Oryzias latipes: one gene and its partners. Each later gene encodes a partner of the first gene's protein in a complex. Links are inferred from orthologs where the notes say so. Each region holds a gene or a part of one and is shown on either strand. Other genes may lie near its edges. The genes, in order: heatr3, rpf2 and rrs1.

The links.
Region 2: heatr3 (region 1) and rpf2 share a complex: the UniProt entries of both Homo sapiens proteins name them as parts of the hexameric 5S RNP precursor complex. The link is inferred for Oryzias latipes from reciprocal best matches to the Homo sapiens genes HEATR3 and RPF2.
Region 3: heatr3 (region 1) and rrs1 share a complex: the UniProt entries of both Homo sapiens proteins name them as parts of the hexameric 5S RNP precursor complex. The link is inferred for Oryzias latipes from reciprocal best matches to the Homo sapiens genes HEATR3 and RRS1.

The regions. Positions count from the first base shown.
Region 1 is NC_019861.2:30,452,062-30,460,728, reverse strand, and holds the start of heatr3 (HEAT repeat-containing protein 3), read left to right. Parts: upstream 1-2,858; 5' UTR 2,859-2,998; coding exon 2,999-3,139; intron 3,140-3,294; coding exon 3,295-3,467; intron 3,468-4,569; coding exon 4,570-4,657; intron 4,658-4,915; coding exon 4,916-5,016; intron 5,017-5,423; coding exon 5,424-5,533; intron 5,534-8,087; coding exon 8,088-8,228; intron 8,229-8,525; coding exon 8,526-8,667. Other genes in the region: cnep1r1 (nuclear envelope phosphatase-regulatory subunit 1), read left to right, coding at 70-141, 521-594, 932-1,041, 2,278-2,332, 2,427-2,468. UniProt on the Homo sapiens protein: Plays a role in ribosome biogenesis and in nuclear import of the 60S ribosomal protein L5/large ribosomal subunit protein uL18 (RPL5). Required for proper erythrocyte maturation.
Region 2 is NC_019882.2:10,337,066-10,345,578, reverse strand, and holds the start of rpf2 (ribosome production factor 2 homolog), read left to right. Parts: upstream 1-3,803; 5' UTR 3,804-3,924; coding exon 3,925-3,947; intron 3,948-4,691; coding exon 4,692-4,824; intron 4,825-5,218; coding exon 5,219-5,256; intron 5,257-5,858; coding exon 5,859-5,898; intron 5,899-5,984; coding exon 5,985-6,066; intron 6,067-7,333; coding exon 7,334-7,410; intron 7,411-7,655; coding exon 7,656-7,755; intron 7,756-7,830; coding exon 7,831-7,933; intron 7,934-8,001; coding exon 8,002-8,146; intron 8,147-8,513. UniProt on the Homo sapiens protein: Involved in ribosomal large subunit assembly. May regulate the localization of the 5S RNP/5S ribonucleoprotein particle to the nucleolus.
Region 3 is NC_019878.2:17,063,372-17,071,005, forward strand, and holds rrs1 (ribosome biogenesis regulatory protein homolog), read right to left. Parts: upstream 4,665-7,634; 5' UTR 4,595-4,664; coding exon 3,578-4,594; 3' UTR 3,457-3,577; downstream 1-3,456. UniProt on the Homo sapiens protein: Involved in ribosomal large subunit assembly. May regulate the localization of the 5S RNP/5S ribonucleoprotein particle to the nucleolus.

The DNA of each region.
Region 1 (8,667 bases):
CACAGTTGTTATGAGGTGAAACTACTACTTGATACTCGATAACTATCCCTCCATAACGTGTTTTTATAGACCTAAAGGCCTTTGAAAGAAGACTGACAGAATATGTCTCCTGTTTGCAACCAGCTACAGGCAGGTGGAGAAGTAAGTAACTGTTATAATTAATGATAAAATCTGGAGTATTTTATTGTTTTTGTTTATTTAAATTCTAAAGTTGATATTTCTCTTGAAAGCCAATAAAAAAATCAGGAAGGAAGCTTTCAATTTGATATTTTGAATTGAGCTAAAACTTTGGATTGTGTGCTGTCAGTATTCAGACTGGTTTACTGTGTTATGTGGGCATTTATGTCCTGGCCTATGTAGTTCTCTCAGGTATGTTTCTTGCTGCTCTCAGTCACAAAGGCTGAGTTTTCTTTGTCGTCTTTTTTCGATTCATTTTTTTTTTTTTTTACACTGTCCCACAATGTTTTTCAAAAATTTCAATTGTTTCAGCTGGTGTGAATCTGCTGTCATTCATTTTCAGTGATTCTGATAGTGGTATCAGTCTGTACGGCAACTGGGGCTTGGAACTGGTTAATAGATCCAGACACACAGAAGGTATGCGCCTGTGAACAACAAGCCACATGTGATACATGTATTCACAGCAAAACAGATGATGTGGTTAGTCTAAGTTTACGCAAACATTTTTGGAGTTGACCACAACACCTTTACTTTACAGTTTTTCTGGAACAGTATTGTAGTAGGAAGTGTTGGGATGATACATTTGAAGGTTGTACCTATTTTAGCGCACAGTTAATACGAGGTGTAATCATTGAAGCACATTTTTTGAAATATCCACTTGTCTTTTGTTCAACATAAAATTTGATAGCAAATTATTCATCATTTTTTTCTTAGTGTTTTTTGTATTAATATTTCATATTTTCTTGTTTTGCAGGTCTCTTTCCTATCGTCACTTTGGAACCATCCATTCTTTACCATCAGCTGCATCACCTTAATAGCTCTGTTTTTTGCTGGAATCCACAAACGAGTCGTGGCTCCATCAATGTATCCTTTGACTTGTGCTGTAGATGTCAAGCTTTTTCTGTCATACAGATTAAGTACAGCAGGGGACCTCAAACTCAGGTTACCTTGGGGGCCACTGAAAGCAGAGTCCTCCTGAGGCTTTGGGAGCCGATAGCAATTTGAATCAGAAATTTAACAAAATCCAGTCTTTTCAATTTTTTTAGAGGGCACATTTTAACCCTGGTCACAAGTTTTATTAGAGAAGCCAGTCACCCACTACTATATTTTTATAATTGAATTCAAACTGTGGGTAGTAAGAGGATGGACGCTGTTCATTGGAGATTGGAACAAGCGTTACGCATGAAATAAAAGAAAAGGAAGAAATTCATTAACGTGGACTGCAGTCTCTATCAGATCAGATCTATCTTAGAGTAGACTACAATCACAATGCATCAAGCAACGTAACTTCCATGTGGTCCCATGTTAAATAGAGGTGGGTGTCAGGTTTCCTGCTTTAAATGTTTCCCTGCGTGCAACCATCAGGCGCGGTCAATGCCACGCCCCCAAGAGCCATATACCCCACTGTGATAGTTTGGCTCGTCAGCTTTGCACACAACACTGTAGAAATGTCATTCAGACAAAACTAATATATCATAAACTTATACATCATCTTAGGGGGCTACCAGTTTGCGACCCCTGAAGAACAGGGTCTTACTAGATAAAATACCTTTATGCTATGTACACACTGGGCATGTGGGCCGTTGAACGCAGGTTCGTTGAACACGCTTATAGTATGCTGTGTTCACACTGGACTGTCGCTACCCCGTACTTATTGCATGTACTCACAGTTAGAAGAGGCTTGGTGTGAAATGTCAAAGCTGAGATCTGAAATCTCGTGAATCTTGCTCCAGGCTTTTTCTTTAACGGTTCTTTTATACAATTTCTGTTCAAAGTAGGAACCAATTATTGCAAACTTTGAGATTGCAAACAGAATTGGTGGTTTATGAGTATTATGGGAAAGTTCAGCTTTATAATGACCTGGTTTGACATGAAAAAAAAAAACATCCTTCTGGCTCTTTTTTTGGGCTCTTTCCCTTTTGCCAATATGGCCTGAAAATAGGCTGTGAAGTGGATATTAAATACATGTTTAAAAATGTCCTTAAAAGTCTCAGATTTAACTTACAGAAACCTGTAGGAGCCATAAAAATATACAAAGTTCTTTAGATTTCTTTAACAAACCCATTTTCAATTGTTATCTTTGACCTTTGCCCTTTTAAGAATCGCTGCTCGCTGTCGCACGGTTTTAGCAGAATACAACATGTCCTGTGATGATGTGAGTTCATCTTTTTTTATTTAAACTGCATTCCTATTAAAACCCATTGTTTGGTACATTATTGATTGTGTTTTTTTGTTTACTTTATGTACAGACTGGAAAACTCATTCTCAAACCACGACCCAGCATCCAGTAACTACATACAATGACTTAAAGTATGATCACAAACTCTGAATCTTTCAACTTTTCCGGGCAGCGCTGAGGTGGAATTTGTCAACACAAAGCAAAGACTGAACTGGAGTTTTTAAAAATTGTGTTTCAGTGTGGAATTGAAGCTGCTGACATGCTCACAAAATCTTCAACTGTATTTTAGTCATTCAGTGTGAGTGCAGATGTGTTTATTCAGATTTCTGTTATGTGTTTTATCTGAGTATTTGTATTTTAAAACTTATTTGCTTAATAAATGCACAATGTGTGAATTTTTGTGTGTTTGTTTATGCAATATTTGGGACTTTGGTTTGGTGCGAAACTGGTTTTGTTTTTTTTGTCGCCACAACAGTTGTGGTGTTTACGACAGTGTCTTCTATCGGCAAGGATCGCTTTACGGCAGACTCGTCCACATGGCTTCCAACTCGGCATGATCGGAGTTTGAGCTAAAATCGTCAGTAAGAGTGAACCAAGGCGAACTTAAAATCGTGTTTTATGTATAGGTAGTCATTGATCGTCATGGGTAAAAGTAAAACCACGAAGTTTAAACGGCCGCAGTTCAACGCCGTCGGGCTGCCGGTGAAAGCCGTGAAAGAAGTTGACGAAGAGGAGGAAGACCACGGTGAAGATTGCTCTCCAGCCGCGGAGCTACTGGAAAAGGTGTTATGCATTTTTCGTTTGGGTTCCAGTTGTTCCCATTTTGAAGTGTCCTTTTCAAAATAGATGTTTATGGTCACGTAAATGGTAAATCCACGTGTTGTCGTGGAGAGTTACTGTAGACTTCGTTCCGACAGTCACAGAGTGTGTTTCCTCAGCTGCAAAGCCCGAACGCAGACACGCGTGAGTTTGCGTGCGCCAGCATTTCTCGGGTGGTCCAACAGAGCCAGACCATCCCCGGTTTTCTCCAGAGACATGCTGTCCGGCGCCTGGGCCCCTTGCTGCTGGACAACAGCTTGGCTGTCAGGGAGACTGCCGCCGGGGCGCTCAGGTAAAACAATCAAATCTTTACCTGGAGTGGAGGCATAAATAAACCTGTAAACAACACTGTCATTCAGTTTAAAATCTTTTTAATAAGAAAATACAGTTAGTATCAACTGTAAATCACTTTTAACAATGATTATGCTTTATATTTTGAGAATAGAAGGCGCCCAAATGTCCTTTATGATCACGTCCTGATGAGGCTCAAACGGTTGCTGGAGCCTATCCCATTTGTCTTTGTGTAATTGTTGGAGAACATTCCTCATTCTAATGCTCACACTCTATTCTAACAGACATTCACCATTAATCCAGGTTTATAGTTATTATTATTTTATTATTTTTATATTAAAATGTGGCACAAAATGCTCTGACGTGAGCTGTATTTGAAAATACTTGCTCCAAAAGATACCAGAGCTGTTACCAGCCCAGGGGCCTTGTGGTAGGTAGTGTCCATCCTGAGGCTGGAAGGTTATGACTTCAAATCCACGGCCGAGTCATACCTCAGACTCTATCTAAAAGTGGGACCAATGCCAGTGCATGACAACTAAAGGGACTTTGAATTTAACTGTTGATATATGCAGAGGGGCAAAAAGGTATTCAGTCAGCCACCAATTGTGCAAGTTTTCCCACCGAAAAAGATGATAGAGGGCTGTAACTTTCATCACAGGTAAACCTCAACTGTGAGAGACAAAATGAGAGAGAAAAATCCAGAAAATCACATTGTCTGATTTTTAAAGAATTTATTTGTAAATTACGGTGGAAAATAAGTATTTGGTCACCTACAAACACACAGGATTTCTGGCTCTCACAGACCTGTGACTTCTTCTGTTAGAGGATCCTCATATTTCTGTCCACTCATATTTCATTGGCTTCACCCCTTAATAAGCCACAACACAAACTGGAGTGATGTTAGAGTTTGCATATACTGGGAGTTAACTGGTGGTTAAATGGAACTCTTCATGTCCTAATGCAGCACATAATGCTGCTTAGTATGACTAATATTTAATGGCATTTGAACTTATCTGACGCTTCAGCGGGGGCCGCCATGCTTTAATAAAAGGTCATGCAGTGAAAGTAGCACTTTTCAAATGTGTCTCGGTTGTGTTTTACAGGAATCTGAGTGCATGTGGAAATCAGGAAGTGTGCGAGGACATGGTGAAGGAAGACATCATGACTCCTGTGACAGCGCTGCTGACAGAGGTGAGAGCTGTCGGCTTCCCTCCACACACTCCTCATTAAGGGCTGTCACGGGAGGCTGTAGTGGCCGCCGCAGTTGAGTGTCGTTCAACAGCGCAAGCAAAACCGTCTCGTAAAAAAGAAGAGCTCGTCAAGAACTGGAGCCGTTAAAGTCTAGCTTTTGTTGTAGGGAAGTCTGCATTAGAAGCTGTGGTCAGTGTTGGATTTGTGTTAAAAACAAAGTGTTGTTTGTTTTTTTAAGCAGGTTTGTTTTGCGTCCAGTGTTGCGCAGGTTTTGACAGCACCGTGGTGACGATGAAGGAACAGAAAAATGCTGTGGAGGATGTTGCCAACGAGGCGGTGAACCTGCTGTGGAACCTATGGTAAACCAGGAAGTTGTGCTGCTTTCGATGACACCCTTTCCTACCAGTGCTTTTCAATAAAGACCCACTCGGTCATCTATTGATCTGTTGTAAAAGTGTTCCCAGTGGTCTTTTAACTATAATTATGCCATTTTTCGCCAAAATCATTGTCGAGAGCTTGGAGCAAGCTTGTGGCCCGCCCAGTATATTTGCGACGCCACAAATAAGCAATTTTTCCAAAAAATGTTTTTGACAAACAATGTGAGTAAAGAAATACTCAGAAATCCAACATATGTCCTTCCATTTTCAGGAAAAGTGCCACAAGAACATGTTAAAACACAATTTTCAATGGAGTGGGTCTTTAACAAAGTTTGTAAAACTTTGCAGCTTCTGCTATTTTTACCTCAAGTTGTCCTTTTCTTTTCCAGTGAAAACAGCAGCCAGGCGCTGTCTGTTTTCAACAAATCAGGTCTCCTGGATCTTGTTGCTCAGTGTCTGGAGAGGCACCCACGTAATGTGGAATTGGCTGTTTCAGCAGGTACCTAAAACCCACAAACTATTCCTAATTTTTCTTCTTTTTTATGAAAATATTTTTTTTGTGAGTTTAGATCTGGTGACATTTAACCTTGAAACCGAAGAAACAGAAACATATGATCAAATTTAATCTCTCTATTCATGATTGTTCTCATTTCTTGTAATTATCACAGACTAAAACTGAAAAGTTGCGGTTTTCACAGCTGTTCTTTCGCCATCTTTCTCAGTGGGCTGAGTCCTTTTAACCCTAAACACATTTGAATAAAAACTTTATATCTCACCCCAGAATCAAACGGCGAACATTTGGACAAGACAAAATCTGCTCTACCCCATCTTTTGTATTTAAACAGGTTTAAAATGATCTAAACTTGTTTGTGTTCACAGCTCTGTTGAGAAGTTTGGATTATTGTCATGAAAGTTTGATAGGTCACTGAAACTGCCTCTGGGGAATTCAGAGGCAGATCTTTTGGATCTGGATTTTGTCAGGACTTACTGAATGAAGTTGTAAAATCTTTTTGTGGTGTTCAGTTTTAAAATCAAAACAGCCGTTTACTCTGCACTGCTCCACATTCAAAACAGAAAAGGGCTCATTTAAGTTAATGCTGTCAAGCTTATTTGAAATATTTAATTACCGTACTTGACAAAAATGCATCCCGTCTGACCTTCCTTTGACACTGTAGTGCTGTACTCAACCTGTCAAATGTGGGGCCCTTTGGTGCCTCTGTCTAAATATGGGCTCCACAGGAAAAAAATACTGACTTCTCTTTCTGTAAACTGATATTTGACATAATGCTGTTGTGATAGTGTGAGCATTCTAGCATAACTTGACTTTGTAAGGTTATTTTAGTCTATTATGGGTATGCATTTAAAAAGTGCCGAGCTTACTGCCTCAGGGTGTAAAGAAATCTATTGGTAAGATATGATTTTAATTTAGAAAATGCAATATTAATTCTATTAAATCCAACGATTTCTTTTTTAAAGTGACATGTTTCATGTTTTTTTCCCAACACATCCCATTAGTTTTTCTTTATAAGTTCTAATTTTTTTTCCAGTTTAGTTGCTACCTATGTGGAAAAAGTATTTGACAATCAATAGAAATTGTCTAAAATTAATATTTAACAAGTAAATTGATGTTTAATTATGTTTTCTTGAATAAAAGCAGATTTAATTCAGTGTTTTGGCTATAATACCTGCTGGGTTTTAGCCCAAAGAGTCTCAAATCTGTCTTTCATATTTATTCATAGAGCCTAAAAGTTTTTGAGTCATTTTCTTGATGGAGTAATGTAAAAATGCAGAGATGACAGCTTTAATTTCAGAGTAAAAGTTCTTGAAAATCCATTATCATCAGACTACTACACTTCCTCCTCCGTGCCTGTCAGTTAAGAACCTGTTTGTCCATCGGTAACAAACTTAAAATTCAGCTCTAACTCTGAGATTTCCCATTCAGGGACTGAAGGCACCTCCAGTTCAGATTGACCATCTGTTGCATTCTCAAGAACTCTGGAACACCTTGAGGGGAAAGGTTTAAATTTAGCAGAAATGTCCCCTTAGACTTAATGAACCGATAAAGGTTTGTGTTAAAAAAAGCTAGATCGCCGTGACCTCAGAACTCCAGGATTTTTGTCAACAGAACATGTGAGGAGTTTTGCAATTTGAAGCTTGCTTTCACGATTTTTGACTTTTTGGGAGATTTTTGACTATTGGGAACAAAAAGTAACCAAATTACCACGGCTGCCTAGCCGTAAACTAAAGTATGTTCAGATTCAGATTCAATCCTTTGGATTAAAGGACTTCTTTAGTGAATTTTATAAAATGTCTTTTTCCACTTGGATGAATTTGCTAAACCCAACGAGGCATTTGGTCAGGGTTTGTCTCATCCTGTTCTCAAGTTTGCTGGGAAATATGCAGATCTGAACATGCATATTCAGGGAGGACCGACATTTGGATCCAACTACTTTTGCAGATAACTATTAATTTGTTCTGCTGGTGCTGGGGTTCAGGTTGTCTGGAGGCAGTTTGCATTACAGACAGAAAGACAGCTGCTCAGCCAGGTCTTGAACCGGTCAAGACCTGAAAACTAACAGAAAAAAAACAATACAAAAACAGGAAAGCTATTTCATTTTCACAACCTATTAAGTTGTTTTTGTGGTAGTAAGTAAACTTGGACACATGTTGAAGCAGTGTTTGGCAGTTGATATGTATTTAATACCAGAAAGAGCAGGAGTCACTTATCCTTCTGTGCTTTTAGCCGTCAAAATAAAGCTTTTTGGCCCTGACGGCTTGGTTTTATTACTGTATTCCCAAACAACAAAAATTGAGAACAATACCGATCATTTTTATAGAAACATCCAAAGCAACTAGGCAATCCAATTCACCGCCACCTAAAAAATAGAGAATATTGAACTCTTTACCAAACTGAAGAAAAAGAAACTGTACCAAGAAAGGTTGAATAGTAAATGTATAAATAGTTTCTTCCTGCTTCATTTGTGATATTTCTGAACATTTGGCAGACTTTGATGTCTCTGTTAGTCATCTGAAGCTTTTCTTCTGTCTCCCAGCCCACTGTTTGCACACTGTGACTGAGGACAACCCCGAACTGCTGTGCAGCATGAATGCAGGCGTTTTTGGAGCCCTAGAGGGTGTGCTGCTGTCGTCTCAGCCAGGCATGGCAGCCACTCTTCTCAGGACTTTAGCTGCGGGTAAGCTTTGTCATTTTTAATGTCTGCTTTCCTTTTTGGGAGCAGCTCAAACTGACTCATCTGCTAGATGAACTTGTTCAATTTTTTGCCAGATTAACTTATTACACTTCATAGTGGGCACAGTGTTTTCACAGGTAACATTTCACTGGCAGAATGACTTGTTTTTTGGCTATTATTGATGAATATAGCAAATTTGTGCATGTTCTTTGGAATATTTGTAAAGATTTCTATATTTGAGACAATTTTTTTAGTGGTGATACGCTCAAAACTGAACGGTGGATGTGCTTCATCTCCCAGGAACTCTGTGGAACATGAAGGCCAATCTTCCTGCCGCTCGCCAAGCTCAAACCGTCAACGCTGTGGTGGCCACCTTGTCTCAGTGCCTGGATTTGGATGCAGGAGGACTGATCCTTGAACTCAGGGCATCAGAAGAGGCTTC
Region 2 (8,513 bases), on another chromosome or scaffold:
CAGAAAGCTTTCCGTCTTCCTCCTCCCTCCTCTTCCTCCGCTGTACCGCAGCGTCTAGTTGTCGTTTCTGTGACGTAGATCTCCCGCATGAGAGCTCCCGTCTGCCTGTTCCCGCTCGCCGCCACTGCGACGGTCGGAGGCCGCCCCTTTGCTTGCGGTGCGGCGGCCCCTTCCTGCAGGTGCGCCCCCTCATCCCCCACAGACAGGGCTTCCGCCCGCCATAGATTCCGGTTCCTGGCATCCTCTGACCGACCGGTCTCGACTCGTTTTAGTCACCAAACGGCTTTTTCCTGTCTGACGGGGCTGCCGTTTAACCCCCCTCCCCAGCCTCACACTGTGGGGTCCAGAATGCGGTTCTGGGGGGTGCTGGATGATCCACATTGACTGCAAGCTAGTTTGGACCCCAAATGCTGACCCGTCTCCTTTGTCAGAGAAAATCCTGGAGACCTCGTCCCCCCCCTGCTGACCAAACATCAGCCGCGGGGGACGTCCCACCCTGAATGGGGGGTGGGGGGTGAATCAGACTGTGAGTCAGCGTTTTCCTTTCTGGGCTGGGGGGGTGCAGAAATGTGCCAGAGGCCTGCAGGTCTGAGCATGCCAGGGCGACCCCGGATCATTCCACACATAACCGCTGCTGAACAGCTCTGCTCATGCTGCCTGTCGCCCCCACCACCCCCCCATCTTTTTTTGCAGTGAATCAATGGAAATATTGTAGGCCAGCAGTTTTTTTGCGCGGGGCGGGGTTCTTCCGGACGCATGCCACTTCTAGTTCTCGCCGCCTTTTCATTCGCTTTGACCAGCTGTCGCCGTTTTCAGGGGAGGAGGGGTTCTTCCTGCGGCTTCACCTGTGCTTAATCCCACCCCCAGCTGTGAGCTCAGGTCCCGCCCTACGACAGAACCTGCTCCTAGCTCCGTCCCACTGTGGGCGCCGTAGCGGCTCAGACTGGACCAGCAAAGAACCAGAACTGGGGCGAGTTCCCCTCAGGTTTTAGGACCAGGTTCTGCTCCGGACCTCCTCTCTCAGCCACAGCCGGCCTCTTCTGCTGAAGAACTTTGGGTTTCTCCAGCAGAACCGGCTGTGGTCCTGGTGGTGGTTGGGTTAAGCACACGTCGCCCCGATTGGGTGGGTTTTTTGTGTTTGTTTGTTTTTCTACAGAAGAATAATTTCTGGATTTTTCTACAAAATCTTTTGTATTTCTGCTCTGGACCAACCTTCCCGTCCGTCCGTCAGTCGCTGTACTTCCACTTCGTTTTTCGGTTGATTTCTGGACCCCCCCCCCCCCCCCCCTTCATTTTATGAGGAGGGGCGGTGGGGGTCAAGATGCCTCCCCCCAGGTGAGAGGGTGCAGTTATGCGTCAGGACACACTGTAGGAGACTCTGCTGTTTCACTTTGTTCTGCTGATCCTTGGTCAATCTGTGCTAAATATATCTGTGCTATGAGCTTCAATAAATGACTATCTGTGAAGCTGCTGGTCTGGTTCTTCTCAAAACGTCCCACATCAGCTGGTTCCAAAACAAAAATGTTAGACTTTTCATTTACTCTTTTTAGTTTGCCTCTTTTAGTTTTTTTTAACAAAAAAGGAATTTTAAACCTATTGGGACATAGTTCATGCAGAGCAGTTGTATTTTATTTAAAAATTCACCTGTGAGATGAGGGTGGGACCTATGGTGTGAAGCAATTCCACCCCTCTTCCCATCACCCATAACTGAGCTCTGTTTGCTGTCTTGTGAGCTTGCATCCCCTCACTCCTCCAACCTGACATAACAAAAATGGCGAGCAGTATTGGAGCTACAGTTCTGACCCAGATTCCAGCTCAGAAAACAAAGACGTACTTGGATCCATTTGTCTGCACATGGATGCATCGGAATGGAGCAGAGCAGAGAGTTTGTGGTCTGCCCTGAGTTTTTTTGTCACAAAAAGTTTCAGGTTTTTTCGTCTGCTCCTGATTCACTCAAACACTCAAATTCAGATTTAAGTTCAGTTTTCTTTATATTCGTCCTCCAGCAGAAAAGTTCTACAGAGGACATTAAAGTTTTATTGGAGTTAGTATTTAATTAAACTTTCATTAGTTTCTGTGGAATAAAGAATCTCTGAAAGGCATTTGATTAAAAACACTTGGAGGTGTCGAACCTCTGACTGTCTCAGAGTGTATTTCTGATTTGAAGCCTGAAACTTGGATTCTGAGTTTGAATCTTGAAAGATTCTAATACAAAAGTTTTTTTTCTTAAGCTTTCAGATTTTTCAATAAACATAAAGGGATAACTTTGTGTTTTAGGCTTTTTTTTTTGGGGGGGGGGCCTAACATGTTTAAAGACTCATTCTGAAATGTTAGGACATAGTTTAGTTTAGCTTTTGTTCCAAATGGTCACATTCTTGTTGGCGACAACTTTCATTGTCTCATCCAATTGGTTGTCGGGAGTTGCCTGCCTGCTTTCATTTGATTTGCTCCCACCTTCCCACCACTTTCTCCTTTCGAAAAAATTCCCGATTGAGCTAGAAATAGTTTTGTGAACTATTTTAAACTGTTCCTGCAGTAAAACATTACTATGTGAACACTTATGGTATCTCCTGCACACGCACTACTATTCTAATTCTTTTTTTTTAAATTTTTTATAAATACAAATGTGACAGAATATTTTTTCTGCAGACTCCTGGGTGGTTTTAAAAGAAAAAAAAAGACCAGGCTTTGTAGCAAATTAAACTCACATGAATCTGTCCCCCATAGTAGTGGGAGCAAAAAATGTCCGTCTGGGACAAAATAAACTGCATCCACTGCTGCCGTGTACAAATATCTCTCAATAACAAGGATTGACTGATGTCCTTCACAAAAAAACAATTTCATAATCTTGACAAATTTGAAACATTGTAGTATTCCTCTTAAGCAGAATATTAGACAAACATAGATGTTTAACTAACTGAATGCTGAGACAACCAACCCTGCTTTTGGTGTGGAGCCCCTTTTAGCTTGTTTGACTGATCACACTGCAAGATTTTATTGACATCAAGGGATCAGAAAGTCTTCCAGGAGGAAAGAATTTCACGAAGTAGAACAATTGTAAAGACAAAAGAAAAACGGATGTAACCATGATACTGGGTTTCTTTGGAAAATACATTAGGGGGAGGAATCTGACATCTATGTCATGAACATGAAATGTTTTTTATTCTCTTGTATGGAAGAACATCTTTCTTTTTTTCATGGCATCTCCAGGATTTTTTCTCTTTAATCTGATTGTTTTGTTCTTTTGAGCATCCCAACAGAGTTTAATGACTAAAAGCATAAATTGTTCTTTGCTTGCCTCTTGTCTCAAATCTTATTCAAACTGATCTCCATAAACATGAAACAGCAGTTGGTTTGGTTTAAGGCTGCATGGCCACATCAAGCCAATTTACATTTCCCATGATGCTGCAGGTGTGCTGCAGTTGTGTTTATTGCTTAAACTAATTGTTGATGGATCGGCATAGCTTTGGCTCAGAAGATTTTTTGGGAATTTTCAGGTTTTGCTAGATTTTCCACACGTTTGGTCAGAGTTGAACATCAATCAGTTCCCGTGCTTCAATGTTTGCATGTATTCAAAAGAAATATTATTTTGGGATTATTTTATGTACCATCGTGATAAAAATTTCCCGTTTAGAGAGTATAAACACTTAAATATTTTTTTTAAATGTAAAAAGTTTTTTTTTACCTTTTCGGCGTTTCTTTATATTTGGTGGTAAATGTCGCCCCCTGCCGGACAAATAGTATAATTTTCAGCGACTCCAAGCATTCTTGCACTGAGACAAAAGGTGGCGGCAACGAGCAAACTCCACTAAAAACGAAGAAGAGAGCCTCGTGTGTTTTTCTACCGGACAGAACCTCACGTGGAGGTTCCGGTTGCTGGCGCCACAGACTTAGAACAGGACCGAACCGAACCGCGACACGGACATGGCGCACTCAGACGGCATCACGTGAGTACCGCTCGCGCGCTAAGGTTTGGACCGTTTGAGCTTTCCCACATTCCTTGAGCTCACCAGGAGGACGCCAGAACTTGTCTGTAGGGATTTCCTGGAGGTTGGAGACCTCCATGAACCTCCACATTAATTTGAAGCCCCCAGCTCCACTGAAAGGTTCTGACTGTGCAGGTTCTGTGTTCCTCCTGAGATCAGAGCGCTCCTTCACAGATGTTTGAGGCGGTCTCAGGTGACTGGATCACCTGAATTCTGATTGGTTCCCTATTAAGGGCGCTTGCCATTTATACATCTTCAACTCCAAAACCCAATGGCCTGGAAATTTCCTAGGAGTCTTTGCAAAAAAAAACAGTGTGAATCCATGTTCACTAGATTAGAGAGTATAATTATGTTTGAATGATGTATTCATTCTAAATTATTTAAGTTGCATCATCTGATTACATAAATGGTCTCTGAAAAATGTTTGTTTTTATTATGCTTTTACATCATAGCAAATGAGTGATGTCATATTCAGTGTTTTAATGAATAAATGTTTTAATTGTCCAAATGTCTGGGGCAAATTCCAGATTTAAGTTTAGTTGGAAAACTTAGCTAAAATTTAAAGTTTTATATCTGAGTAACATTTTATTTAATATTATAATTGCATTCATGTTATGATTTTAATGTCATTAGTTTGCCTGATTTCTATCAATCTGGTGCTGAAACTGATGTTCAGACTCTTCGGGGGTTTTGCTGTGTTTTCAGAAAACCGAAGACGAGGCGTTCCAAGCGCTTCCTGGAGACCCGAGAACCCAAACTGTTGGAGAACGTGAAGAGCGTCATGATCATGAAGGGGGGCAACACAAACCAGACGGTCACTGAGGCCCTCAAAGACATCGTGAGTGACTTCGAACATCCCTAAAGTCTCCCTCTGATCATGAACCCGTGTCCTTTTTTAGGACCTAGTTTCTGCAGAGCAGCAGGAGTCCATTCGAAATTTGCCTCTGAGTTGTGGCTGTTAACATGATGCATCCTCAGCCCTCCACTCCTCCCTGTTACTGAGAGCTCTCTGTTTACCCTCTCGCTTTAACTTACAGCCACTTATACTCCCAAGCTAACATTATATTAGCAATATTGGAGCAGTTTAGAGCCAGATTGCAGCTCAGACGAGGAAATCCGCACACCGATCTAATGGTCTGCATGTTGAGCAGGGAGCAAGAAGATGTTAAAAACAGGATTTTGAAGAAAGTAATGATGAAGAAGTAAACATGGCCCTGTCCTCCTCCCTGCAGTACTCCCTGAAGAAGCCCAACGCCGTGCTCTACAAGAAGTAAGTTCCAATCCGAGCTGCTCTATGATCCACTTTCACCACAAGCCGAACGTTTTAGGCCTTTTTAGATCAGGTTATGGCCAACTTACAAAAATAATCATAAAGCCTGTCAAAGAACAGCAACACAGCTAAAATAATTCAATCCAAATCCTAAACTTTATGGCCAAATTGTCTAAATATTTTCCTGATGCTGCTAACATCACTTTTTTGAAATCTGAAAAACATCAGATCATTTTCTGATGTTATTTATGGTTTAAAGCTGCTGGAAAACTCAAATATTGACTTTAGAGGAGCTTTTGAATGGCTGTAATTTATGGAAGAAGTTTTTTTCTAAATATTTTATTTATGTTGATTAAAAAAATAAAAAACCTCCACTCTCTTTTAAGCAAAACAACAGTTTACTGTTGTTGTTTTCTTTCTTTTCTGGATTTTTTTGTCTGATCTGCAACAACAGTTTAGACAATAAAAGCCTCTTTTAGTCACGTCAGGGCTCTTAATTTGAAAGTTTTAGCCCTAGAGTGTAAAAACAGAAGTGTAACATTTAGAAGCAGAACAGCGCGTCGGGTCAGAACTTCTGTGAAGAAACGGTGTCTGTGTTTCAGGAAGAACATCACCCGACCTTTTGAAGACTCCACGTCTCTGGTGAGATTTCTGACCCTCTCTTACCGCTCGAGTGTCCCAGGAGATTTTGTCTTAAATTTGAACTATTACTTTTTTTTTTTTTTTAGGAGTTTTTCTCCAAGAAGAGCGACTGCTCTCTGTTCCTGTTCGGCTCCCACAACAAGAAACGACCCAACAACTTAATTTTTGGTAAATCCTGCTGCTTTAACCTGTTCGGAGGAGGACCGCTGGGCCTTTTGACACAATTATACGACATGAGAAGCTTATTAAAATATACAAACATGTTTTGATTGGTGACTTTTAGGTCAGTTTCAGGAGAAAATTGTTCAATCTTTCAAAAATCCCATAATTATATCATCTATTTAGCAGAAAATGCTTTAAAAAATAATAATTATTAGAAAAATGATAATATATACACAGTAAATCTAAATGTATACAAATTATGGTTTGAAATAAATTAATAAGTGCTAATTTATATTATTAACCTTTTCATGCTTCCCTTTATTTCAGATTATATGAAATGTTTTTGCCATTCTAGCTAATGCAAATTTAAATGCAGTCCAGGATTTAATGGGACGTTGCACATCAGCAACATGAAGGGGTTAAAAAGTCCAACCTTTGAACGGCAAACAGTATTTTTCTGTTTGAAAATACTTTTTTTTTCTTCAGTCTTCAATAATATTTGTTGGTAGGGCTGCCTGATTTGAGGAAAACTCACGAAATTAGTGGTCCATATATGTTGCAGGTTGATAGCAAATCAACCATCTGATTGGTCAACAACGTGAAGGAGTCCATCTGATTGGTCAAATGCATGAATGGATTTGATTTGTGAAATTCTTCTAGGTGCCATCAGATTGTTTTAACACATTTAAGGTTACCGTTGATCACAATTTTCGCCGTCTTTTGCAACAAACGTTTTGCACAGCTTGATATTGCTACAACAATAAATTTGTGATTTTGTGAAAGCCTATTTCTCGGGAAAATTCACTATAAATCAAGACAATTTTTTGTGTAGTTTTTTATGAAAATTTATTGAAAATTGATTCCTTTTATTCCTAGTTTTAACATTGATTTACTAGTTTTAGACCAAAAAATGTGAAATATCAGTCTAAAATATAAAATTTGTATTTTTTATGCTATTTTGTCTTCGAGGAAAAATGTTTTTATTTGTTGCTAAGGTATTTAGCTTTTTTTAGGGTTTAGCAAAAAGAAAAAATATGTTCGATTTGATCATTAATAAAAGGATGATTATCATTGATTTGGTTCTTCTTGGGTTGATTTTATGGAGGTAAGCTGGACATGTTAGACTTGATTGAAGCGTCTTCCGCCAGTGTTTTTGATGCTCAGCCGCTGCAGCTGCGGCTGCAGAAACTAAAAGGAGGTGTGGGTAGAACCTTGTTTGCTATGTTCCTGTTCCTCCTGGGTCATAACCTCCTCATGTCCCTCTGGTTTTCAGGTCGACTCTTTGACTTCCACGTTCTGGACATGATTGAAGTTGGAGTTGAGAAGTTTGTCTCTCTGAGTGAGTTTAAGGTAACAAGCCGACATTTTTTCCCTCTTGGATTGAAGCCATCACCATTTTCTGTTTTTATTTTTTTATAGGATCTGTTTAGTGTTTTGTCATCATTTAACTCTTAAATTTTTGGATCTTCTGGTTGGACCTCAGGTTCTGATGAGGGCTGGATTTGTTGTGTTTCTGAGTTTCAGCGCTCTTCTGCTCCTCACCTGATTTCTGCGTCTGTTGATGATTCCTGATGATCGTTTGTGTTCTGGTTCAGATCAGTAAATGTCCTGAAGGAACCAAACCCATGCTGGTGTTTGCAGGAGAAGCTTTTGAAATGGACAACGAGTTCAAACGCCTCAAAAGTCTGCTAATAGGTAAGATGTGAGGAAGACGATGAAGGTCTGAGGTCAAACGCGTATATGTTCTGACCCGGTTCTACGCCCATTCAGATTTCTTCAGAGGTCCCACAGTCCCTGCAGTCCGTCTGGCCGGTCTGGAGCACGTTCTGCACTTCACTGCTGTGGACGGGAAGATCTACCTGCGCAGCTACAGGTACTTCAAACTGGCTGCTCTCGCCTTGGAGGGGGCGCTCCGAGGCTCACGGTGCTGTCCGCCCACAGGTGTCTTCTGAAGAAGTCCGGCTGCAGGGTCCCGAGGATCGAGCTGGAGGAGATCGGGCCCTCCATGGACCTGGTGCTGAGGAGAACTCACCTGGCCTCAGACGACCTCTACAAGCTAGCTCACAGGCAGCCTAAAGCTCTGAAGGTGGGTGGAGGCCATGAATGAACCCGTTAGGTGACGTCGGCACCTTTTGCTCTTTGATCCCACCATAGCTTAGTGCCAAAAAGCTCAACCTGCGAGCCAGGCAGTTCTAAAGAATGCTAACCGGTAACTAGCTGAAACATTTAACAACAGAGCTCCAGTATTGACATTCTTTCAAGTACTGTAACTTTTTAATCGTTTATGCAAATCTGAAGCGTCTCCTGCAGAACAAACTATTGAGAAATACAAAATGTGTACTGAAGATGGCGCCAGAGGACAAGTGCCATGATGCATCAAAGTGACCACCTCTAATGTTGGAGTTGAAGGAAAATGTCTTTTGACTGTTTTCTTCAGAAAAGAAACTAACAAA
Region 3 (7,634 bases), on another chromosome or scaffold:
GACTCCTGTAAATGACTGAAACTCATTTTATGTGGCTGGAGTTCTTCAGAACACAAGTACAGGACATGATGGAGCAGATTTGTGAAGAAAAAAAGAATTTCATGATGGTGTAAATCCCAGGAGTTTACCCTCTACTTTTGATTCATGCCTCAATTCTTGACTAAAGAAAACCAAAGCCGAGTCTTTACATGACCAAAAACCAACATAAAGCCTCTTGAGTTAAAACACTCTGATGCTCAGTTTGAAGCAGATAAACGGAGCAGCTCAAGCGATTCATGAGTGCAGCTTCATTTTGTACTAGAACACAGCTGCTCCAGTTTTGTTCCATCTATCCATGCCACAAGGTCCCACAATTCATATCCTGTGCACGCTTCTGTTTAGTGATGTCATCAGGAAACATGGCATGAGTTTTCACAACTATCCTGATGACACTCAATTACAGACTCTTTCAGAAAAACGTGTATTCATTTCCATGATTCCATTCAAAAAATTAAATGTCAGTAGAATATGGCTTCAGTTTGATTTATTGATTGATTTTTTACATAAATCTGGGTTCCAGCCCATGAAACCCATCACATTGGAATTTATGTAAAATAAATACTTGAAATCAATCAAACAGTGGGACCTGAATTTATATTCTGCAGAAGTTTAATTTTTTCAATGGAATTATGAAAATAAACACACTTTATAATGTTCAAGATTTTTTGGAAAGGTTTTTATGTGTGGCTGTGTCTCCTGCTGACATGGAACCTTTTAGGTTATATTTTAGGCATTGATAAAAAAACATTTTGAAGTTCAATCAAGACAAAACAACGATTTTTTATTTGTTGGTCTTGAATCTAAAAGAGAGAGAGAGGGTCAAATTTTACATATCAAATGAAAGTAAGGCGAGATTTTAAATGCAGATCTTACCTTTTGAAGCAGACGCAAGCCAAGTTACACAGACTGCATTTTATCATCTCAGAAATATGGTCAGAGTGAGACCCTTCCCCTCCAGAGCCAATGCTGAAATATAAACTCATGGTTTTATCATTTTTAAAATAGATTATGGTTCTTTCTGGTGTTAAGAAAAATCTAATTTCATTGGCAGCATCTTGTTCAAAACTCAGCTGTGCATCTCTTAATCAGGAAAAAAGGAGCACATTACTCCATTTTAGAAACTGGCTCCCAGTCAGCTTTAGAATCGATTTCAAGATCCTTTAATTAGTTTATAAATGTCTTAATGGAATCTAACCATCCATTTTTTATCAGAATTATTTTTATTTTATGATGCAGATATGCTAGTGGTCCCAGAAGTCCACAGTCATTCCAGGAATGTAAGCCTCTCCTGTGGAATGACCTGCGTGAGGATGTAAGGCCTAATTCCACTGTGGAGGTTTTTAAGAAAGAATTGATCATTTTAGACATAAGTTTTTAAGAAGTTTTTACATTTCCTTATGTTTTGATATGATTTTATAAACTGTTTTCCCTGTTTGTACTAGTAGAATCTGTAAGTGTGTTGGGGGCTTTTATTCTAATTACTATTGTTTTTTTTTTAGACATCATTTATTTCATGTAAAGCACTTTAAGGTGTTCTGCAACAGGAAAAGAGGTCTATTAATAAATAAAGTAGAATCTTCTGAACCGGCTGAATCCCTTTCGGGATCACAGGGTTGCTGGAACCAACCCAGCTACTGCTGGGCAAAGGCAGATCACTCCCTGATGTCACAAGTCTGTAGCAGGACCACGCTATCACAGGGACAATTTAGACTCACCAATTAACTTATGAAACATGTTTTGGACTGTGGGAGGAAGATGAAGTGTCCAAAAAAAACCCTATTCATGCACAGGAAGAGTTCCACACAAAAAGAATCCCAGCAGGTATTTGAACCGGGGCTCTCTCACCCAATTTTGTCTGGAAAAAAAGAAGCATATAAGAAAAACTCAGATATGACTGCATTCAATGGACAAGGGTAAGGAATAAACTTTGTTCAGGAAGAAGGCTCAGGACTGCATGATTATAAAAAAACAAAACAAAACAAACCTGATGATCCATAAAAGGATATGAAATTAGGCTTCCCTCTCCGAAATCGGAAATCATTCAAAGTGTGCAAAGAGATCCCATCCGCTAGCTCAGAACATTTGTTAGTCAGAAAATCACTGCATGGATCGTTCAGACATGATGCAGAAGACAGAGAAGCTTATTACGAAATGCTACAGGAAATCTGTTCCATATTTAGATGTTTTCATGTGTGCCAAGCTTGAAATGGCATCATGTGGTGTCATTAAAAACTAAAGATATTTATTATAATTTTTTTTACTTTATGGTTTATAACAGGGGTGTCCATACTATTTGCATAGGGCCAGATTTGGAAAGGTGAAATTTTCTTCTTAGAACCACCTGACAGTATTACATTGTTTATTTTACACACTTCTAAGTTTGCACTGCACTGTTTTTTGTATATTAGCTTTTCCTTGTTTGTGCATGTTGTTCTGCTGAAAATACAATTTCCTCTGAGATAAATTAAGTATTGTGATTCACCATCAAGAAATCATATTGTTTAGAGAATGCTGGGGGCTGCATATTATTGATTTTATGAGGGGAAACTGAAACACGGGCCGGACTTTGGACATGACTGGTTTATGCTATGGGCCAGATGACACCCACTTGTGTTGCCACTCCATGCTTTTTAAAAAAAAATAAATAATAAAATGCTTGTTTTTCTTTTTAAAAAACAAAAGAAAATAATTTTCAGACTTGTGAAAACAAATCTACTACAGGATCTCTCTGGAAATAAATAAAAACAATCAAGATTAAATAAAAATTTTCAGATATTTAAAAAAAGAACTGCAAATATGTACTTTTCAAAAGAAAAATAGGCAGCCTTCTTGAGACAATTTACGATAAAAAAAGAAAGCAATTCTATTCCAGTTTGATTTTAAATTCCCACTCCAATCCGCTTTTGTCAGGGTGTTCCTAGCGGTCTTTTCAACTATGACTATGCCGTTTTTAGGCTAAATAGAAAAATCAAATGCTGTTTTCTAGAGAAGAATTTGTGCAGAGCAGCAGTTCATCAGTAGGTGGAACTATTGCTGCAGAGTATGTCCACCCCCACTTTCCGTCATCCATGTTTACACGCTCTCCCACTAGATTACAGCGCCTCACATTTCTCTACATCTTTGTGTGCAAGTGGAGGCGGAGCAGGGAGACTTTGGTCTGCCCAGTTCAGTTTCTACGTTACAACTGAGGGATTTATCAAACAGCATTTTCTGTCTGCTCCTGATTCACAAGGATCTGAATAAAGAAATACTCAATAATGCAGTTTTAATCTAAAATTTCTTTATTTATGTCCTCCATCATGAGAAAAATGCAACAGAATTTCTTTTAATCTTAAAATTAGCTTTTCATTGGAAATAAGTTTTTTTTGAAAACCATATGACATTTATTGGAGGTAAAAAAAAACTGAAACGGCAGACTTTTGTATTTAAATTGTAGAATATATTTGCTTTTCTGTCAACAGTACAGTCAAAAAGCTATGGGGAGCAGGAATCGGTCCTCAGAGTTCAGCTCTGCAGCAGCAGGATGTAGAGAATTTCTTCAGCGCTTCCCAGGTTTCCCTCTCCTCTTCCCTCCTCCAGCTTTGCCTCCTTTTCCTTTGCCCCCCTTCCCCTTGGGCCTCCGGGTGGCTCCCCCTTTGCCTCCCTTCTTCCTGGACGCAGCCTCCTCCCTGTCCTCCTCTCTCATCTGTTTGTTGACGGCTTTGGTGATGTCCAGCTTGGGCCTCTTGCTGTCCATGACCTTCAGGAGCTCCAGCTGCTTGTGCTTCTCGCTGGAGAAGTCCCCGATGAGGGGCTCAAACTTCCTCCTCTTGCCTGCGTTCTTGGGGGGCTTCTCCTTTGGGAGGCGATCCTGGAACCTGCCCACGGATGCCGTGGAGGTTTTGGCCACGCTCACAGCTTTGCTCAGCTCGTCTTTGGATTGCTTGGCTCGGGGTAGCAGCCCCACACCGGGGTTTTTTATTTTCTGAGATCTGGCGACGTTCTTCAGTCTGTTGAACTCGTTCTTTGCCACCCTCTCCTTCTTGGCATGGGCGCGTTTGGCGAACTGGTCCTCGTTCGGGTCGGAGGTCTGCGGAACCTCGATCAGCCAGTCTTTGGTGTCGTCGTTGGCCCTCTTGTAGCCCCAGCGCCTCCTCCACTCCTTGGCCGTTTCATCCCACACCAGGTTCGTCTTCTTCTTCTTCTGGATGCCTTTCAGTTTGGCGAACTGCTCCCATTTCGTCGGGGGTTTGGGCTTCGGAGGAGGTTTCTCTCTGGGCAACCGGGTCGTCGGCTCCGGTAGTTTGGCTACGATCGCCTCCTCGACCCTCTCGGTCGGCACCTTCCAGATTTCGTTGATAAGAAGCTGCGTGTTGTCGCGGGCCAGCGACCGGAGAAAGTCTTCCTTATTCTGCTCTTTGAAGTCCCTGGACTCGATGCGGTTTTTGTCACAAGCTAGCAGGTTTCCCACGTCAAAGTCCAAATCCAGCTCCTTCTGGACGGAGATGGTCTTCAGTTTTTCAGCCTCCTCCTGTTCGGCTTTCGCTAACAGCTCCTCCACGCTGCACGCAGCCATGATTTCGACCACTACACACGTGGGGCAACAACAGGAGTCTTCTTCCGGGTCACGGTGTAGTTCATTGTCTCACCGCACGAGGCAGTGTTGCCTAATTCCCACCGGTAACCATCAGGGGGAAGTGTTGTTTTATTTTCTTGTATAATACAGAATTTGGCTGCCAGAGGGCAATGTTGTTCCACTAATTTGACATTTAAATTTGAATAAAAAACAAACAAATTAATGCAATGTATACAACTTGTTATAATAACACACACATAAAATACACTATATTAATAAAAAAAATCTAAATTCATGCCACATTCATGCAACATTTTTAAGCTCTTTTCTCTTTTTCACACCAATGAACACTAGGGTCAAGTTTAAGTTCAGTCTGTAGCCTTAGGGCGCTTCAACAGGTGGACTACAGACATCAAACCACAGATGATGACAGTCACAGAAGCTCCAGATGGGTGTATATACATTATTTAAAAAGATATATATTTAGCTAAACTAGACAGAAAAAAACATGTAAACGCATTTTTTTTGGGGTAAAAAGTCAGTTACAGTTCATCGGTGACAGTTCAACAAAATTTCAACTCTATGTGTCAAAATACAGTCAAGCTAAGAAATATGCAAAATTTTTCAAAATAAAACCATGTTTGCAATACTTGTTTTTGAATTTTATGGACATTCAGTTGTGATATTTATTTAAATACACATTTAAAGTGAGTTGGCATCGATAATTTTGGTTTCCTTCAGTTGTGTCACCTGGCAGAGCTTAAAATATTAATCTTTTAAAAAATATAAGCCTAATTTATCCCTCAATATTTTTTGTAGGTTACAAAACACTATAACTGCTGTCATTCAGGTGTTTTGGGGAACAGGAACTGCCTCGTATCTGATGCTTGCTTCATAAGAAACGGTCAATGTTCTTCCTTTTTTGTCAAATATTTTGTGAACTCAAACAGTGAAAAATTACAATAAAACCCCCCAAAATAGCATTCAAAAGTCTGAACATGGCCTAAGAATAATATAATGTCATGCTTCCAAAGTTCTAAAATCCAAACGCATGTTAATAAAGACATGGCAATCTCCAAAATGCACCCATCAACAGGGAACTCAAATGGCTAAATGACCAAGGCAGGACAGGAGCATCCATGCATGGAATATAAATACAATATATAATGTTAGCCAAATGGCTACAATACACACCTGACTAAGGGAATACTTGTTCTCAGAAAAAAGGTAAAACTTCTATGACTTTTCTTGCCAATATTAATATCAAAAAATAATTTTACACATCTAGCCATCCATTCTTTTTCTTGCTTTAACCCTTTCTGGGTCATGGGGATGCCGTAGCCTAACCCTGCCACTGTTGAACGAAGGTGGGACACACCCAGGACAGGTCGCCAGTCTGTCGCAGGACACTTTTGCAAACACCTTCTTACAATAACTGTCATGATAAATGGTGCTCATCATATGATGCTTCACTACCTTAATTGAAGTGTAAAGCGCTTTATAGTCGCATACACACTCACATTCCCACACTGGTGCTGCCTCTGCTACATACATGGCGCCAAACCAAGTCTAACCACCAGGAACAATGTGGAGTTTAGTGCGGGAACTGAATATGATCCTTCAATCAGAGGTCAATCGGATTTTTTATATCCTCAAAAAAAGTTTTATATAGCTAAATTTAGTCTAGAAAAAAATCACACATGAGAGAACTGTTTTCCATAATATCTTATCAATCCATCTTTAGGAAACAATAATCCTTTCTAATTGGAGTGATTGTCTGGAAACTGATGGAGACAGATTGGCACTTTGATGGAGACAGACTGATGGGATTGATATGTTTAGTAGGGGCATTTTTCATGGAGCCAATAGTGTCTATGCATGGTTAAGGTGTTACCAAGCCTCCAATTTCCTTCCCACATCTGAAGCAGGAAGTGTTGCAGTTCCTCAAAAGACCACTGGAGACTGGTTGCACAGAAGGGAGCAACTGTCCATCTACTTCCATGTTAAAGAGTTCAAATTTACACTAAAATAAACTGTGTGCAGCCTGATTAAGAAAAGCTTTTCAACATTTATTTGTTCTAGTTGCATTTCAAACATCCTAGGGGGGGATTTGTTTATTATGAGGGGCTTGTTTTCTTGTTGACTTTGCAAAACTCTTCATCAATTGCTAAGTTTCAAAATGTTGTTAGCGGGTTGGTGCAGTTGATGTGGCAGACACATTTTGGATTTCATTTTTGCAGTTCAAAATCCTGATGTCAGAGAGTAATTGTCCAGTGCAACAGATGTTGTTTGCTCATTAGAAACTGGATTTAAGGAGGTTGGATTTAAGGAGAACAATTCGAAATAGGTACTAGATATTCTTTTTTAAATCAGGGATTTTTACAACAGTTTACTTTAAATTTTCCTCATATCATAACTTTACAGCTCAGTTTATTGTACACAGATTAAAATGTTTGAATATTTTGTGAAAGTGAAAGATGACTTTTTAACATGTAATGTAATGTATTTCGGCACGTTTGCAATGAGCAGAAGTAGCAAACAGTTTGTTTCCGCAGCTTAACATGGAAATCATGGAGTATCCGTCATATTCATGTGCCTGAAGTCTTCAAAGTTCAAAGATGTTCATTAATTCATGCTCCCTCAAGTATAAGAGACAGTGAAAAACAAGCTATAAAAACAAGATGAACACATCACGCAACAGATGCAGCACATCTGTTGGAAAAATGGAAAGTTTGGAGACGATCTGTGTTTGTGATGTAACAGGTCCAGAACTCTACAACAACTAGGCCAACTTATTTAATGTTTTTAATAAAACTTGAAAATCCCCCCAAAAAACTGAATGTGCATGGATCATTCGGATATATTTCCTCCAAAGAGACACAAATGATGTCTCAAATTGTGTTTTTGGGGTCATGATGAAGGACTTATATAAAGAAAATTAAGCGTACCATTGCATTTCTGAGCATTTCTTTATTCAAGTTGCTGTGAAACAGGAGCAGACAAAAAAATGCAGTGTTAAAAAGCTCGTAGGTGTAACGTA